Lonchura striata: one gene and its partner. Each later gene encodes a partner of the first gene's protein in a complex. Links are inferred from orthologs where the notes say so. Each region holds a gene or a part of one and is shown on either strand. Other genes may lie near its edges.

Region 1 (7,056 bases):
AAGTGGGCAGCACAGACATCCCCACCATGGCAGGGACAGGAGTGGACCACTGCCCCCCGTGCCACTCTGGTGACAGCCATCATCTCTAAACCACAGCACCCTACACTGTACCAGTCCCAGGCTGCTGCTGCAGGTGCTGCCAAGGTTTTCCTGTCTTTGCACCTCTCAGATCCCACTGGAGCCAAAGGGACTGCTTCTGCCCTGCAGATGCCACCCCCTCTCCCCCCATCTCAGCTCTTCCCCACAGCTTCCTGCTGATGCCATCATAGGTTGAGGTTCTGCAACTCCTCCTGGGGCTAGGATTGTTCTCTCTTTGTCTCTTCACCACTGGAGAAGGGCATGAGCATCTGCAGCTCTGGACAGGGACCAACAGCAGAGAGGCCCCCCACCTCCTCAGCACAGCCCCTGCCAAAGCCCCCCCATCCCCACCAGGACTGCCACAGTGAGGCAATCCTTGCTGGCACCATGGCATGAGTCGGGGTCTGGCCACCCAGGCAGGCAACACCCACCTCTCCCACCAAAGCTTTATTTACATCACTGCTGCCATGATGCAGCTCTTCACAAAACTAGAGAGAAATGGCACCCAGTCAGCGCCCCTGAGCCCGGCGGGGCAGTGGGGACAGCGGGGAGAGGAGGACAGCTGTGGAGATGCAGGTGCTTAGGACTCGCCAGCCTCAAACATCTTCTTCCTGCCCTCCATGCCAGACTTCTCCTCAATGTTCTTCCTCCAGTCACCGACATCACGGAGATCCTTCTCCTGGGGGAGGGAGGTTGCGTTGGTGTGAATGGCGCCGTGGTAAGAACCCACCCAGCCCGGGCCCCACACCAGTCCACCCATGGAAACCCCCATGTCAGCTGGAGGAACCCAGTTCCACCCATGCAATACATCTTTCTAAACTGCACCCTCCTGTTTCAACATCATGGGTGCCAGAGAAGGAAATACTGAGCAGGAAGAACATTATGGAGAAAGAGTCATTCTCAACTCTGTCTGTCTTGCGGGGAGGTGTGAGCCCTCAAGGGTGGGAGCTACTCCTGTTAGGGACAACAGGAAGAGGGAAGGATACCTTCTCAGTGTCCTCCTTCTTCACTTGCTTCAGGTTGGCTCGGAGGTCCATGCAGACCTTGTGCTTGGAGCCCAGCAGGGCCCGCAGCATGGCGTCAGCCGACATGCGCACCCTGCGCAGCGGCGGCCGCTTGAACTTGCCACGCAGGTCAAAGAGTTTCTGGCTCAAGTCTTCCAGCTGGGGGGGAAGAAATGAGGAGGGTTGGAGAGAGAGGAGGGCGTGGGTTTAATGAGATGGACCCAAGTGGCACAGGGAGGCATGAGGAATGGGCTGCAGACTCCCCTGAAGGATGGCTCCAGAGGAACTCACCTCCTTTGTAGTCTTCTGTAGCTTCACCTCTGTGTCATACCTCTCCTCATCCACTGACTCTATCTTGGCATGAAGCTTTTTGCACAGCTCCTGGGAAGAAAGCAAAGAGGGATATTGACTGCTAGGACTCACACTGACTCCTGACTGCTTTGGCTCTGAAAACCCTCAGTCCAGAACACTAGACAGGCTTAAGGTGAAGAGGAGCTTATCAGCCAGCTCCTAATCTCCATGCTACTGGCTGCACACAAATGCTGCCTCAACACATCCTTTAAAACACATCTTTCTTGCCAGCCAGACCCCTTTTTTTGGGAGAGAGACCCCACCTGCCTCTCAAGCCAGCTCCATGTTCATCTGGCTCCAGGGTAACACAGGTGAGGAGAGGGTCAAGATGGGAAGGCCAGTCTATATCCACCAGGCTGACTGACAGAGTCAAATATTTTCTGTTCCAGCACTGAAAGGGTTAAAGAAGCCTGTACCTGAAGTTCCTGCATGGATCCTGGGAGTGACAGAGGAGGGCAATGTTCTGCCAGGTAGTTTTGCTTCTCCACTTCTTTAGCAGCTGCTTCTTTTTCTATTTCAGTGACAGCAAGCTGGAGCATAGCACTCTGAAAGGCAGCAGGAGATGCATCAGTGCAGGATGGAAGCAAGGAAGGAGGGTAGGGGGGTCATTCCTCAGGGGAGTGGGAGTCCTGATGGAGAGGCAGCCTGGGGAGTTCCCATAAATACCATTTCCAAGCAAGGGATAAGATAGAGACCCAGTGAGCAGTGGGCTGGGAGATCTATGCTGTGCATCGTGGCCTCTTCTAGTAGGGAGAGTGCTGAGAGCTGCCTGGCTTGGGATGGGAGATGGGAAGGTTGGGACACACATCCCACAGCCACAGCAGTGCCACGTACCTTCAGGTGCTGCCGACGGGCAGTGGCTGCCCTCCTCTTTTTCTGCAAGTGGAAGAAAAGACAAGAGAAAAGAAGGTTACCAGGTGCCCATTCCCCTTTCCATTGCCCTTCCCCATGCAATGCCACAGTCCACCAAGGACCTGCAGCCCTGCCAGGGAGATTGCTCCATCTTGACACACAGTCTGTCCCCAGACCAGCAGCACTCAAGGAAGAGGCTCCCTGCTGAACCCAGCTTTGCCAACCTCAGGTATCTAAAATCTACAAAGTCCCCGAGGAAAAGATAACAAGGGTGATGAATTTGAAAATATATGTATAAAATATGGCTTCAAACATGGCTTCTTGGGACTTTTAGCCTTTTCTCTGATTTCCTCTTCACTCAGATGTGTTTTACACTGTGCTCAAGCTAATGACCCCCATGACCCTGGGCACTCAGGAGCTGTGGGATGTCATTCTGAGCAGTCCAGGGCATGCGTCCTTCTGACACTCTAGTGACAAGGACAGCCAGGCAGGTGAAAACATGAAGGCTGTGTAATTTCTTGGAGCTGGAAAGACCCAGCACAAGTGATGCTGAAGCAGGGTTCATCACAGCTGGAGGACAGACCCAACCACAGGCTGCCCTTCTGTCCTTGTCATGCTGGACCAGCAGCAATAGGACTCCTACTTACAAAAAAACCCACAACTTCTGCATTTCAGCTGTTTCCTGAGCATTTCACCCAGAAGACAGGGCATGGCTCAGTTGGGCTGGCCCAGGGGAAGCACATCAGATATGCTGAGAGGTGGGGAGTAGAAAGCAGCACTTGGGTGTGGGTTTGTGCTGCGGAGAGGAGGAAGTGAATAAGGATGTGCAGAGTGAAATGTAACAAAACTTGACGTGTCTCACATATGTAAATGGTGCCAAGGCCCTCCTGACAGGGCTGGAGGGCTTTGCAGAGAAAAGGCACCCAGCTCAGAGATGCAGCACACTATTAACCATCAGACAATCAGATCCCTTGAGGGCTGTTAGTCCAAGGCTTATTCTCCATCTGAAAACTGGTACCTTAGCAAAGAGTGTCCTCCCAGCCTTTTCTGGGATGTCTGGGCTTGATGGGGAGTAAAAGAACATGTTGGTTATCAGCACCATTTTGTGGCATTTCTATGTGTCCCTGACATCCTCTTTTCTCTCAGTGAGAACAAGTTGAAGCTTGTGGTGTTGCAGACATATGGGGAGATGCTAAGCAGAAATGAAGGATGGAGCAATATGCTAAGAGGAAATGTGGAGTGACAAAGCCACAAACAATCCTCCCACACCTTCGCCTGCATTTCTTCAGACACCCCCAACCCCACCTGGCTTTGCCAGAAGCCAGGGAAAACTTGCTAAGAATGCAACCTCCACCCTGCTCACACTCCCCTGGATCCAGGTCTCCTTGGGTTGCCTTTGGGAAGGGATTTGTCAGTGCTCAGTGGGTAGAAAATTAAGGGCTGGATGTGGGGAAGGAGGGGAGGATGCTCGGCCAAGGGCGGGATGGTGGATGGATGACGGAGGAGAGGCAGCTCTGGACCACTGCCTTCCCAGCACCATCTCGTGGCCGGCTGGGGAAGCAGGAATGGAGGGGGAAAAGCATCAAACTCCATGCCAGGGGACAAAAAAAATAGTCATTCAAAAGGGATTTTTCTTCTCCTTCATGTGTTTACCAGGAGGAGTCAGCAAGAAAATAACCCTGAGCCATTCTTCACACACACACATACACAGAGCAGCTGATTTTCCTAGGGAGGAGCGGTGAAGCCAGGACTGCTGCCATAAGCATTGCTAAAGGAAAAACGCCAGCAAAACACACTTACCTCTTCACTGTTCAGGAAAAGCAGATGGACAAGGAAAGGAAGGAAGAGAAAGGGGAAAGAGGAAAAAAAAGGCAGTTAATTAGCATCCTAACTAGAAACAAGCAGAAGAATCTTAACAACCATAAAAGTTGGTGGTTGAACAAAAGTTTTTAAATGCCAACAGTGTATTAGAGACAGAAAAAATGGGAACTTACTCAGACATCTTGGTTTAGATAGTTCTGAGCCTGAAATGAAAACCAAGAGAAAAAGTTTACAATTATTCATGCTTGTGGTCACTTTTTTGTGGATTTTAAACTCACTTTTTTGTGGATTTACAAACAAAGCAAACCTCCTCTAGAAAATGAAAAGAGGAACAGGTTTGTTCTTATTTCCCAACTTCACAAATTTTTCATCATATAGGGAACTAGGCTGCAGTTTGTAGATGAGAGGCAAATATCTCCTCATAGCAACACAAACCACAACATCAAAGGACTTCTGGAAAAGGCTAAATGGGATTGAGACAGAAAAAGAGAGATTTGTGACAGTGATTCCTGCAGGTATGTTTCTTGTCTGACCCCCATAAAACCATTTTATTCAATGAAGAAAGAAAAGGCAAAAACTATTTTCAGTTTGCTGCTTCACTTTGCCATTCAACCTTACTTCACTTCATAAACAAGAAATATCCCAAAGCCTGCAAAGGGTCAGCGATGACCCCAGGTGGCAAGGAAGGACTCCAGAGGATGCTACTGCCAGTGTATGCATTCATTCTGTGGGACAGGGGAGCCTGTTGCAGCAGCCTCAGCACAGCTGGAAGCTGTGGTTGAGTTGATATAAGCACAAAAAAATTCCCCAGGCAATCCCTTTCATTTGCTTTAAGTGGAAATTTTACACATACAACACAGTGTATTAGGGAAGAGATGGAAGAGCACCTTTGATTTGCTGTAAATGATTTCCACATAAATAGAATTTTACTTTTCTATCAGAGCAATATCTACTTGCATCTCCTAAGCCTGCCCTTTGCAGAGCAGCCAATGCAGCCGTCTGCAGAGCTGGGAGGCTCTGTCAGGAGGGGAAGTGTTAATGGGGGCTCATGCCCGAGGCAGGAGGCACAGCTCGCAGGGCCAAGGAAACTTTATCCTGGAAAATGTGCGGGCCCATCACATTGCTTCAGAGAGGAGAGGCGGGGGGAGGAAAGTGCTTCTAAAAATGGCCAGGGAGCTGCAGAAGGAGCTGCAGCTGTCTCCTGGGACGGCAGCCTTTGCCCGGTGCCAGCCCCGTGACTCGGGGAGGTGGCGGCGGTGCGGAGCGCAGGTGGCGGGGCCGAGCCCAGGAACGCGGGCTGTGTGCGCTGACAGCCCTGCCCCGCACACAGCTCCCGCCGAGCCGGGACAGCCCGGGCCGCGAGTACGAGCCGGGGGACAGCCCGGGCCGCGAGTACGAGCCGGGGGACAGCCCGGGCTGCGGCTCCGAGCCGGAGTACAGCCCGGGCTGCGGCTCGGAGGACAGCCCGGGCTGCGGCTCGGAGGATAGCCCGGGCTGCGGCTCCGAGCCCGGGGACATCCCGGGCTGCGGCTCCGAGCCCGGGGACATCCCGGGCTGCGGCTCCGAGCCCGGGGACATCCCGGGCTGCGGCTCGGAGGACAGCCCGGGCTGCGGCTCCGAGCCAGGGGACAGCCCGGGCTACGGCTCGGAGCCCGCGACGTGGGCTCGGCATCGCCTGTTCTGCCGGGAGGACACCGTGAATTGGGATGTCGGTGCCTGTCCCAGGGTGGTTTTGGGCAGGAAGGCTCGGCAAGGGTAGGGAGCTGGAGGATGGGGTGTAAGATGGGGGCATAGCCGAGTCACCGCAGGCAAGGATCCGCAATCCATAGGCCCTGTGGAGGGCACATTAGGCTCCACTTGCCCTAGCCACTCAAGCTGAGAGCAGAACCAGCCAAGGCAGGGGAAAGCATGAAATCAGAAAGAGAAAAGCTCAGTGGAAGCGACAGCGCGAACCTTTCCAATGCACAGATCCTCTCCAATAAGCAAAGGATGGAGAAAGTGTTATTCGCACTCCTGTTTCTCCCAGTAGGCCACCCCCACCTGGTATTTATCTCCTTAATACTCAGGTAAGTAAATCTGCTTCCCCATCACTCCCTAAGAGCAAGCTGGGTCATTAGGAGATATGCAAAAATGCTCACCCAAGCCTGGAGAAAATCAGAGTCGTGCAGGCTGGACAGGATGGACAGATGAGCCGCAGACAGCTGGCTGAGTAAGGAGGTATAAAAGGGCTTCTCGGGTGGCTCAGCAGAAAATCCACCTTCTCTTTAAGGGCATGGAGACCTTCTCAGACCAATGATGTGCAAGAGTCTGCTGTGCACCTCCCTTGGCTGGGGCAGGCCAGGGCAGGAGAACAGGAGAGGGCAGCCCCCAGAGAAGGAGGGGTGGGGAGGAGGAGAACATCTTCTACCCGTGGGATCCAGTGGAGCTGGGGAGGTGTTTTTCCTCAGAAGTTCCAAGTAGGGAGCCCTCCTCTCCCTTCTCCTGCCACCAACCAGTCAGAATAGATATGGCTTCAAATCTGTGGGGAGCCCAGGCTCTCTGCACACAGCCATCCATCTGCAAGGCCTCTAATCAAAATTTCCCCTTGGATATACAGAGTGGCTTATCCATGGACAAGGGCATGACTCAATTTGCCTTCAAGGGCTTGGGAGGAACTCTGCCCTTCAGGAAGGAAGAGAAGAAAGAGCTTGCACCCCAAATATCCACTGCCAACAGCATATGCAAGAGCAATCCCTTAATAAGCTATCCAGTACTAACATGCTTTTTTAACCTCAATTATTCCTCTTACACAGTAAATACTTGTAGCTCTTCCCTGTGTGAAATATTTCAACACAACTCAGAGATTTTTTTAGAAAAAAAAGCTGTGAATCTGCTGCAGGCAGCCTCAAGCCTCAAATCCAGCCAGGGGCTGGGCAGAGGCAGCAGAGCGTGGGGGAGCAGCCCCACACTG
Region 2 (7,269 bases), on another chromosome or scaffold:
ATGGAATAGAATCCAATCCAATGGAATCCAATCCAATCCAATCCAGTGCAATCCAATGAATCCAATCCAATGCAATCCACTGCTGTCCCATCCAATACAGGGCAATGCAGTGCAATCCAGTACAATCCAATGAATCCAACCCTGTCCAATCCAGTGCGGGCAATCCAGTCCAGTCCCTCTAGTGTGGAGCTGCCAAGGGCTGAGCCCCCTCCCAGTGTTGGAGCTGTGACCCTGTCCCAGCTGCTGGCAGCCTGTGGTGCACATCTGTAGCCACCAAGGGCTCCTGGAGGCTTGGACACTGCCACACCAGGCTGAGGTGCCACCTCAGTGGTTGTGTGACTGAGCTGCCTGGTGCCACCCCAAAAACAGTGCTGAGGAGCTGGGCTGATGGGCCAGACCTCAGGAATAAGCCCAGAGTGAACTCGGGGTGCTGTTTGGGGTGATTTACTGACAGCATGGACTTCACTTTCACTGTCCTGCTCAGCATGGGGAAGTGTTTCAAGCCTGAACACGCTAAAAGATCTTGCCAAGAATTTGTAACAGAAGTGGAGAATCTAAAAGATGGCAAGCAAACTCTCCTCAGCCTTTTCCCTTGAGCTGAACCTGAGCTGCCCTGAGGGGAAGTCATACTATGGCAACCTTTCTGACAGGCTCAGAATGCCTGTTCTGTTCCTGCCTCACCAGGAACAGAAAATTGCAGGAGAGAGGATATAATGAGTTTCTTTTGGAGTATCTGAGTGTATTAAAATTGAGAGGTTATCTAGAAAGATTATGTTTTGGCAGAAGGATGCATCAAGCATCCATCAAGGCTTTGAAATATACTCTGTGCTACATTACACACAGAAGGATTATGTTTTGGACTGTCAAATCAAGGAGATTTTGTTAAAAAGTACTTTCCAGCAGAATGAAAGCAGCATCTGCCTGCCCTTCCTTATGCTACCTAAGAGAAGATGCAATTAGCTCAGCATGGTGTCATGAAGTGCAAATGCCCTGGCTGGATGTGAGGAGCTGCAGGGGCAATGCTGGTGTCTCACAGATGCCATCAGAACTGCAGTGGCAGATGAGCAAACACACCACTGCAAAAAGAACTGGAAAAACTCATTTTGGGGTGTTTCTCACTGAAAAATGTTTTTCCTTGGTCAGGATGAAGCTGAAGGATGATGTGCAAAAGGACAAAAGACAGAGAGTACAGGCAGCCCAACAGGGATTTTCTAATGCTATCCCAGCATCAGGAACTGCTGCTGAGCTCAGCCTCTTCATGAGATAGTAAGTGGGTTTGGAGAGCAACTTTAATTAAGCTTCCTCTGAATGTCCCATCTCCTTAATTAAATAAAAATTTGCAGCCCGGCTGTCGGGTTTGATCAGTGCCCGTCTCCTCCTGAAGCAGTTCCTGCCTGCAGGCACAGCAGCGGCTCATGGTGTGACAGCCCTGTCCTGGCTCACAGAGGAGAGGAGCAATGTGCCTATGGAAGGGGGAAAATGGGTTCTCCTTCAGCTAAAATATTCCAAGTAGTGTTTAGGAAAGAGTACATTAAATAATTCTGCTGTTGCTGGGTCTGGACTCTCAGGGCCATGTGCCCAAGGCAGGGAAGGGGGATATGGAGCATTTTGCTGCAGTTTGGAGCCATGACACAGCCAAAGGAGCCCTGTAAACATCCCTAATCTCAAATAAAATTGCAATTTAGTTGAGCTTCTGTCCTTTATTTCTTTACATTTGATGTCAAGAATGCCTCTGCTAGTTTTGCAGTGGGTTACAGCAGCTTGGAAATGAGAACCTGAAATGAAGTTTTGGAGGAAAAAAGCCAAGTAAAGCTTCCCAGTTGTCTTGGTAGCTTGGAGGGACTGACAAGTGGGACAGCATGTCAGGATGCAGCTGGAGCTAGCAGTCTGTACCTGACCCCAGTGAGAGCTGGTGTGTCACCGGGCCAGCTGTACCCAGATTTAAGGCACTTGTGCTGGCAGCCTCCTCGGGCTGTGGATAGCCACACTCCCTGTCTGCCACGGGGCTCAGGTGAGGAGGCACAGGAAGCAGCAGGAGAGGGTGGTTTTCCCTCAGAACAGCCCATACCTGCAGTAGCTCCTTCCTGTGCTTTGCATGGCAGAGGCTTTGGGTTTCCCTACAAAACCCCAATTCCCAATCCTTTTGTAAGCAAACAACTTCGGAGAGCCAGGGGATGCTGGAAGCTTTGTCTCCAGGCAGCCGGCGGGGAGGCAGGGGTTGGCACAACGCCACTCGCCTGCGCCTCCTTCCCCGGGAGGAACATCACCTCCCTCCGCTGCCAGATGGGATTTCATCCTTTCCTCTGGGCTCAGCTCTGGTTTGTAAGTCTCTGCCTCCATCAGATGTTCACAGAAGTGCAGCTTTCCCATGCCAGTAGGGTGGCAGCAGCCCAAATTTCCCCTCTCTGAGCACACAGAGACCCTTCCTCCAACATCCCAGCCTGAATTTCACCCCAGCTCTCCCCAGCAGACCTTTTAAAGGCAATGTTGGAGCTGTCTCTCCTGCGCTACATTGACCCTAAATATATTCTGACACATCCCAGGGGCTGTTTTCAGGGTGACTCAGAGCCATCACTTCCCAGGATGGAGGGACAGGGCCAGCCGTGATTCCTCAGCCCCTGTCCTGGAGCCTGCTAGTGCCCAGAGCTGGCACCTGCCACCTGCAGTGAATCCCAAGGCCAGAGAAGCAGTCAGGGGCTGGGGCTTGCCTCGGGGCAGCGGTTCATTGGGAAGGTCTCTCTGGGGTTGCCCACGAGGTTTTGGGGGGTGGTTTGGTTCTGGGGAACAGCAGGTCTCCCATCCCAGCCTGTGCTCTCGCCTAAGAACAGGCTCCTTTAACAAAACTACTTCCCTCTGCTGCTGTTTCTGACTTCCGTGTGTTAAAGGCAACCAAAATATTAAATACATTCAAATTAGTAAGACTAACTGCTTCAAAAAATGTAACAATTTTCCCTTTTATTCCATCTGCTACGCCTATGCTGAGCAGAGGCAGGGCTGGGCTGAAGCCTGGGAAAATCAAGGCCAGCAGGTGCCCACAAGACCACAGTTCCTATCAGGCTCTGTAGTGATTTAATCTTTCAGGACTCAAAACCTGGGAGAATACGATGTGGGGATGGCTTTGTGCTCACCTGCATCCCCACTTTGTGCTGACACCACCTGGTTAATGTTGCTTTGGCTTGGGCATTCCACAGGGACTGCAGGTTTTTCCATGCAGCATGATTCTTCTTAAAGGTGGATTTGTAGTAAAGATGAAAACTAGCAGTTGCATTAATTTTATTTTTAATTTTGCAAACTAATTTTGACATGAGCCAGCTGGAGGTGAGACCTTGCCACCCTGTGGTGCCAGAGCCATCTGTAGCCCCTCTGGACACAAGAGGGAGTCCTGAATCATTGAAAAGACAGGTTTGTTTGCTGTGGATTAAAACACTTTTTGCTGCACTGAGAAAACTGCTCATCACTTGGAGGCCTTTGGTGTTTTTTGCTCTCCACTGTGGCAGGGTAAATCTATGGTAAACCCACAGTAAATCCAGGAGTGTGCATTTTGGCTGTTTGCAGTGGGGACAGATCAGCGAGCTGGCTGGGTGAAGTGAGTCATGACTTCCCAAAGGACTGGCAATTATCCCTGGAATCAAACAGGGTTGATACCCCCATTTTGATAGCTGATCCCCACATTTTGCTGCCCTAGCTGAAAACAGAAAACTGTGGCAAAGCTCCATGTGTCTCCACGCTACTGTCCGTGGCACTGGGACTGCACATTCCCCCCAAGCCCTCCCGAGGCCATTGGCCCCAGCTGCAGGTCCCCCGTGGATTTGGGGACACGCAGCAGAGGGGACGAGGGGCCCTGAGACCCCCTGTTCCCACTGCCCTGGGGGACATTTGCTCCTGGACAGGGATATTTTGGGACACGTGCCTTTCCTCTAATACCCGATCCTATCTGGCACGGTATAATCTTTCTAACGCAGCTCCCAGGGGGAACACGCTGGAGGTGGAGGTGACACGATGGCACGGCTCCAGCCAGGACAGCCAAGAGCCGCGATACATCAGCAATTCCGGCAGGTCTTGCTCAAAAGCGGTGGCTTGATCCCACAACAGAGTCACGAGGAAAGCTCCAGCTGCTCCGGAGCGGGGCCGGCGCTGGCGCTGCCGCTGGCCCGGACGTGCCAGCGCCGGGCTCGGTGGTGTCCCCGTCCCCAGGCACGCAGGCCAGGCATTCCTGGGGGGCCGGGCATGCGGGGCTGGCCCCAGCCCCCTATATCAGCCCTGCCCGCGGGGCAGCGCCGGCAGAGTGACCGCGACAGCCCCCGGCCCTCGCCCAGCCATGGATGACATTTATAAGGCAGCGGTGAGTGTCTCCCCGCGGGGCTGTGGGCTGGGGAGAGGGGGGGTCTGAAATGGATCTAAGGATTTTTGTTGTAGGTTCCAATAATTCAGTGAGAAATGAAAATGAGAAATAATTATAAGGCAGCAACTCTTAGTCAACGTCCTCATCCAGGACACAGACCTCTCCCTATCATGGCTCTGGAAGTTTCACACTCCTCTTAAAAGTGTGAAACTCTTAACAATGACCCCCTGGTTCCCCACTGAAAAGCAGGGAGATGGCTCCTAGGTGAAGATATAAATCTCAATAAAACCTGCAAGGCATAAGAGATGACTCTTGGTTTTAGCCCAGACAAAGCAGAGGAGGATTTCCCAGAAAAGAAACATTATTTTTATGGGTTAAAACTCACCTTCTTTCTGGTGCTTTACAATTCTGCCATTGCTTTGTTCCCCCCTTCTTAGCTGAATATTTTTCAGAGAGATTTTAAAAAACCCTCGTTTTTTTCTCAGTTATTTCCAAACCTCCTCCTCTGCTTTGCTGCTCCTGCTCTGTGCTGTGCAGAATCCAGAATGTGAGCTATGCCCTGGGGAACGTGGAGCATCCTTGGGCTATTTTAACTTCCACAGCTGCACACTGTGCTCACTGTGTAAACCCAAACTATTTGGTCTGTAATAAGAACACTGCATTATTCTGTAACGTAGGCAGACAGAGATGTGCAAGTGGATTAAGGATGAAAATAGAGTCTGGATTGTGTGGATTGCTATTGCATCCATAACTGGATTTACAGTAAGAGCTTTTTCGTGCTTTTCCCTCCTTAAATATACAGCTGATCAAGTTTGATTTTAAGCAAGAGCACAAAAAATGCATCATACCAGTCTTATTATTATGGCAAGGTTTTTAGAAGGAAGGAATATCATCCTTGGTAGGTAACTGAAAAAAAACCCCAATGCTCACACATCCCCTGTCCTTTGGTCAGCCTTGAACCTTGGAAATGGAACCCCTGTAGTGACCCTGATAGTGTGAAAAGGTTCAGGAAAGGTTGAGTCCCCCAACCAACACCTTCAAAACGGAGAAAAATGGAACCTGTAAAATCAAAGGAAATCCAGGCCTTTCTAATTAAGATTTTTAATTAAATAAGTTCTCTGTGACTGAAGGTACAGGCTCTTTCCTCATTGCATAGGGATCACATAGCCATTAATTAGGTAAATGTAGGGTTTGAGTCCTGGGCATTAACTCCCAGCACCTTTACAGAGGCAAAACAAGTCCAAGCCAGGCACAGCTGAGACAAACAGCTCTTTTGTGGAGCTGTTTTCTATTTCCCTCAATTTAGACTGTAAAGAAAACATTTACCTGTGGAAGAAAAAAATTAAGAACTTCAGTTTCCCCTGACTTCCAACAGAACCATGGGATGGAGAGAAGAGCTTTTAAAAGCAAAATACAGCAGATTTGGCACTACCACAGCTGCTGCAGTGCTGTGAGCTTAGAGCCTGCCTTCCCACACTGCAGTCAGAAAAACCTGTTCCTGGAATGATGTGGAGGGAAAAGAGGAATAAGGTAGCAAACAGCACCCACATCCAGAATGAACTACGAATATCTCAAGAGACATTTTTGTGACAAAAATATCACTCTATAGCAACAATGCATTTAATTTATATACACATCTATCACTTCAGTACTCAAGGAGGCTTTAAAATGGAATAGCTGTGTATTTTATGCATGTTGATAGCGTATATTAATATTACATTTATGCCAAATCCCCTACGTGCAGTCAGAGGACCCAATGGATTTTCATCTTACCCACTCATGCCTAGATAAGGGTGTGCAAACACAAAACTATTTTGGGAATATTTTTAGGCTCTGTTAAGTGGTGCCTAGAACAGTGCCAGGGACAAGTGTCCAGATAAAGGGCTGCAAGGATAAATACCAAAGCCTGGGAACAATCAGGGAGCTCATCTTTATCTCCAACACCTCTCACCCAGGCTTATAAATAGCGACTGCGCCAGGAGTGTCATGTTACAGAGCAGGACGTGGCTGTGGCCATCGTGGTGGTGGCTGCCCTTGCTCTGCCCAAAAAATGTCTACAGAGGGCCAGCAGCTGCCTGCTTGCCTTCAGCAGCACCAGAAACACACTGGGCTTGGGTTTCCTCCAGCAGTGGAGAAAAATCCTGCCACCGTCCTTAGTGCTTCTGCCAAGTCCTCACCTCCTGGAGCATGGGGAGTGGGATAAAATGCTCTGCCTGCTCCCACAGGCTCTGACCTGCTAAGGAAAAGTATTTTCTCTGCTTCTTGCTGCAAGCAGGAAGAAGCAGCTGGCTTGTGCAAAACCATTGCCCTTCGGGGCAAAAGAATCAGTTTTCACTCAAAGACACAACCCGGGGTTTTGGGGTCCTGCCCAAACACAGCATGGCAGGGATGGGTGTTGGGGGCCACTGGCATTGGGGTGGCAGCAAGGAGAATTTAGTGGGGTCAGATAGGGCAGGCATGGGTCCCTACCAGGCTGGATCTAGAGAGGCTGTTGACCAGCACAGGAAGGAGAAGTTGATGTTTTCATGGATGCTTCCAAAGGGGCAGTTGGACATGGTGGTGAGGGCAGCAAGTTCAGCTAAGCAGTACCTGGAATGAAGCCAAAGAGAGAAAGGCACTTAAACAGGTATGACACAGAGCTGATTGATTTCCCTTTGCTCTCCTCATTGATTATTTTCATTAATTCATGCTAATAAACTCCCACTACCATCAGTCTGTGGGGATTGAATTAGGGCAGAGTTTGGGAACAGTCTGCCATCCCATGTCAGCAAATGCCTGTTGGCTCCACAGGCCATTTCTTCAGAGATTCCCAAAACAGACTAAAGGGAATAGCAGCTCCCTTCAGAGCCAGACACCTTTGTAATAACACTGGCTGAGATGGAAGCAGAGCAGTTAAGCTTCCTGAATCTAGGCCTGAAAAACAACTA

Evidence for each region. The genes of interacting proteins can lie anywhere in the genome.
Region 2: the proteins of TNNI2 (region 1) and TNNC1 are in contact, whole or in part, in an NMR structure (PDB 2MKP), measured with the Homo sapiens proteins. The link is inferred for Lonchura striata from reciprocal best matches to the Homo sapiens genes TNNI2 and TNNC1. Residues at the interface, in NP_001139301.1 of Homo sapiens: Arg116, Met117, Ser118, Ala119, Asp120, Ala121, Met122, Leu123, Ala125, Leu126, Leu127, Lys130, His131, Lys132; in NP_003271.1 of Homo sapiens: Asn18, Glu19, Phe20, Ala22, Ala23, Ile26, Val44, Met45, Met47, Leu48, Gln50, Pro52, Glu56, Phe77, Met80, Met81, Cys84, Met85, Lys86, Asp87.

What each region holds. Positions count from the first base shown.
Region 1 is NC_134608.1:46,533,461-46,540,516, reverse strand, and holds TNNI2 (troponin I, fast skeletal muscle), read right to left. Parts: upstream 2,385-7,056; 5' UTR 2,268-2,384; intron 1,979-2,267; 5' UTR 1,973-1,978; coding exon 1,850-1,972; intron 1,464-1,849; coding exon 1,374-1,463; intron 1,242-1,373; coding exon 1,065-1,241; intron 758-1,064; coding exon 659-757; 3' UTR 511-658; downstream 1-510. UniProt on the Homo sapiens protein: Troponin I is the inhibitory subunit of troponin, the thin filament regulatory complex which confers calcium-sensitivity to striated muscle actomyosin ATPase activity.
Region 2 is NC_134614.1:9,515,421-9,522,689, forward strand, and holds the start of TNNC1 (troponin C, slow skeletal and cardiac muscles), read left to right. Parts: upstream 1-4,216; 5' UTR 4,217-4,318; coding exon 4,319-4,342; intron 4,343-7,269. UniProt on the Homo sapiens protein: Troponin is the central regulatory protein of striated muscle contraction. Tn consists of three components: Tn-I which is the inhibitor of actomyosin ATPase, Tn-T which contains the binding site for tropomyosin and Tn-C.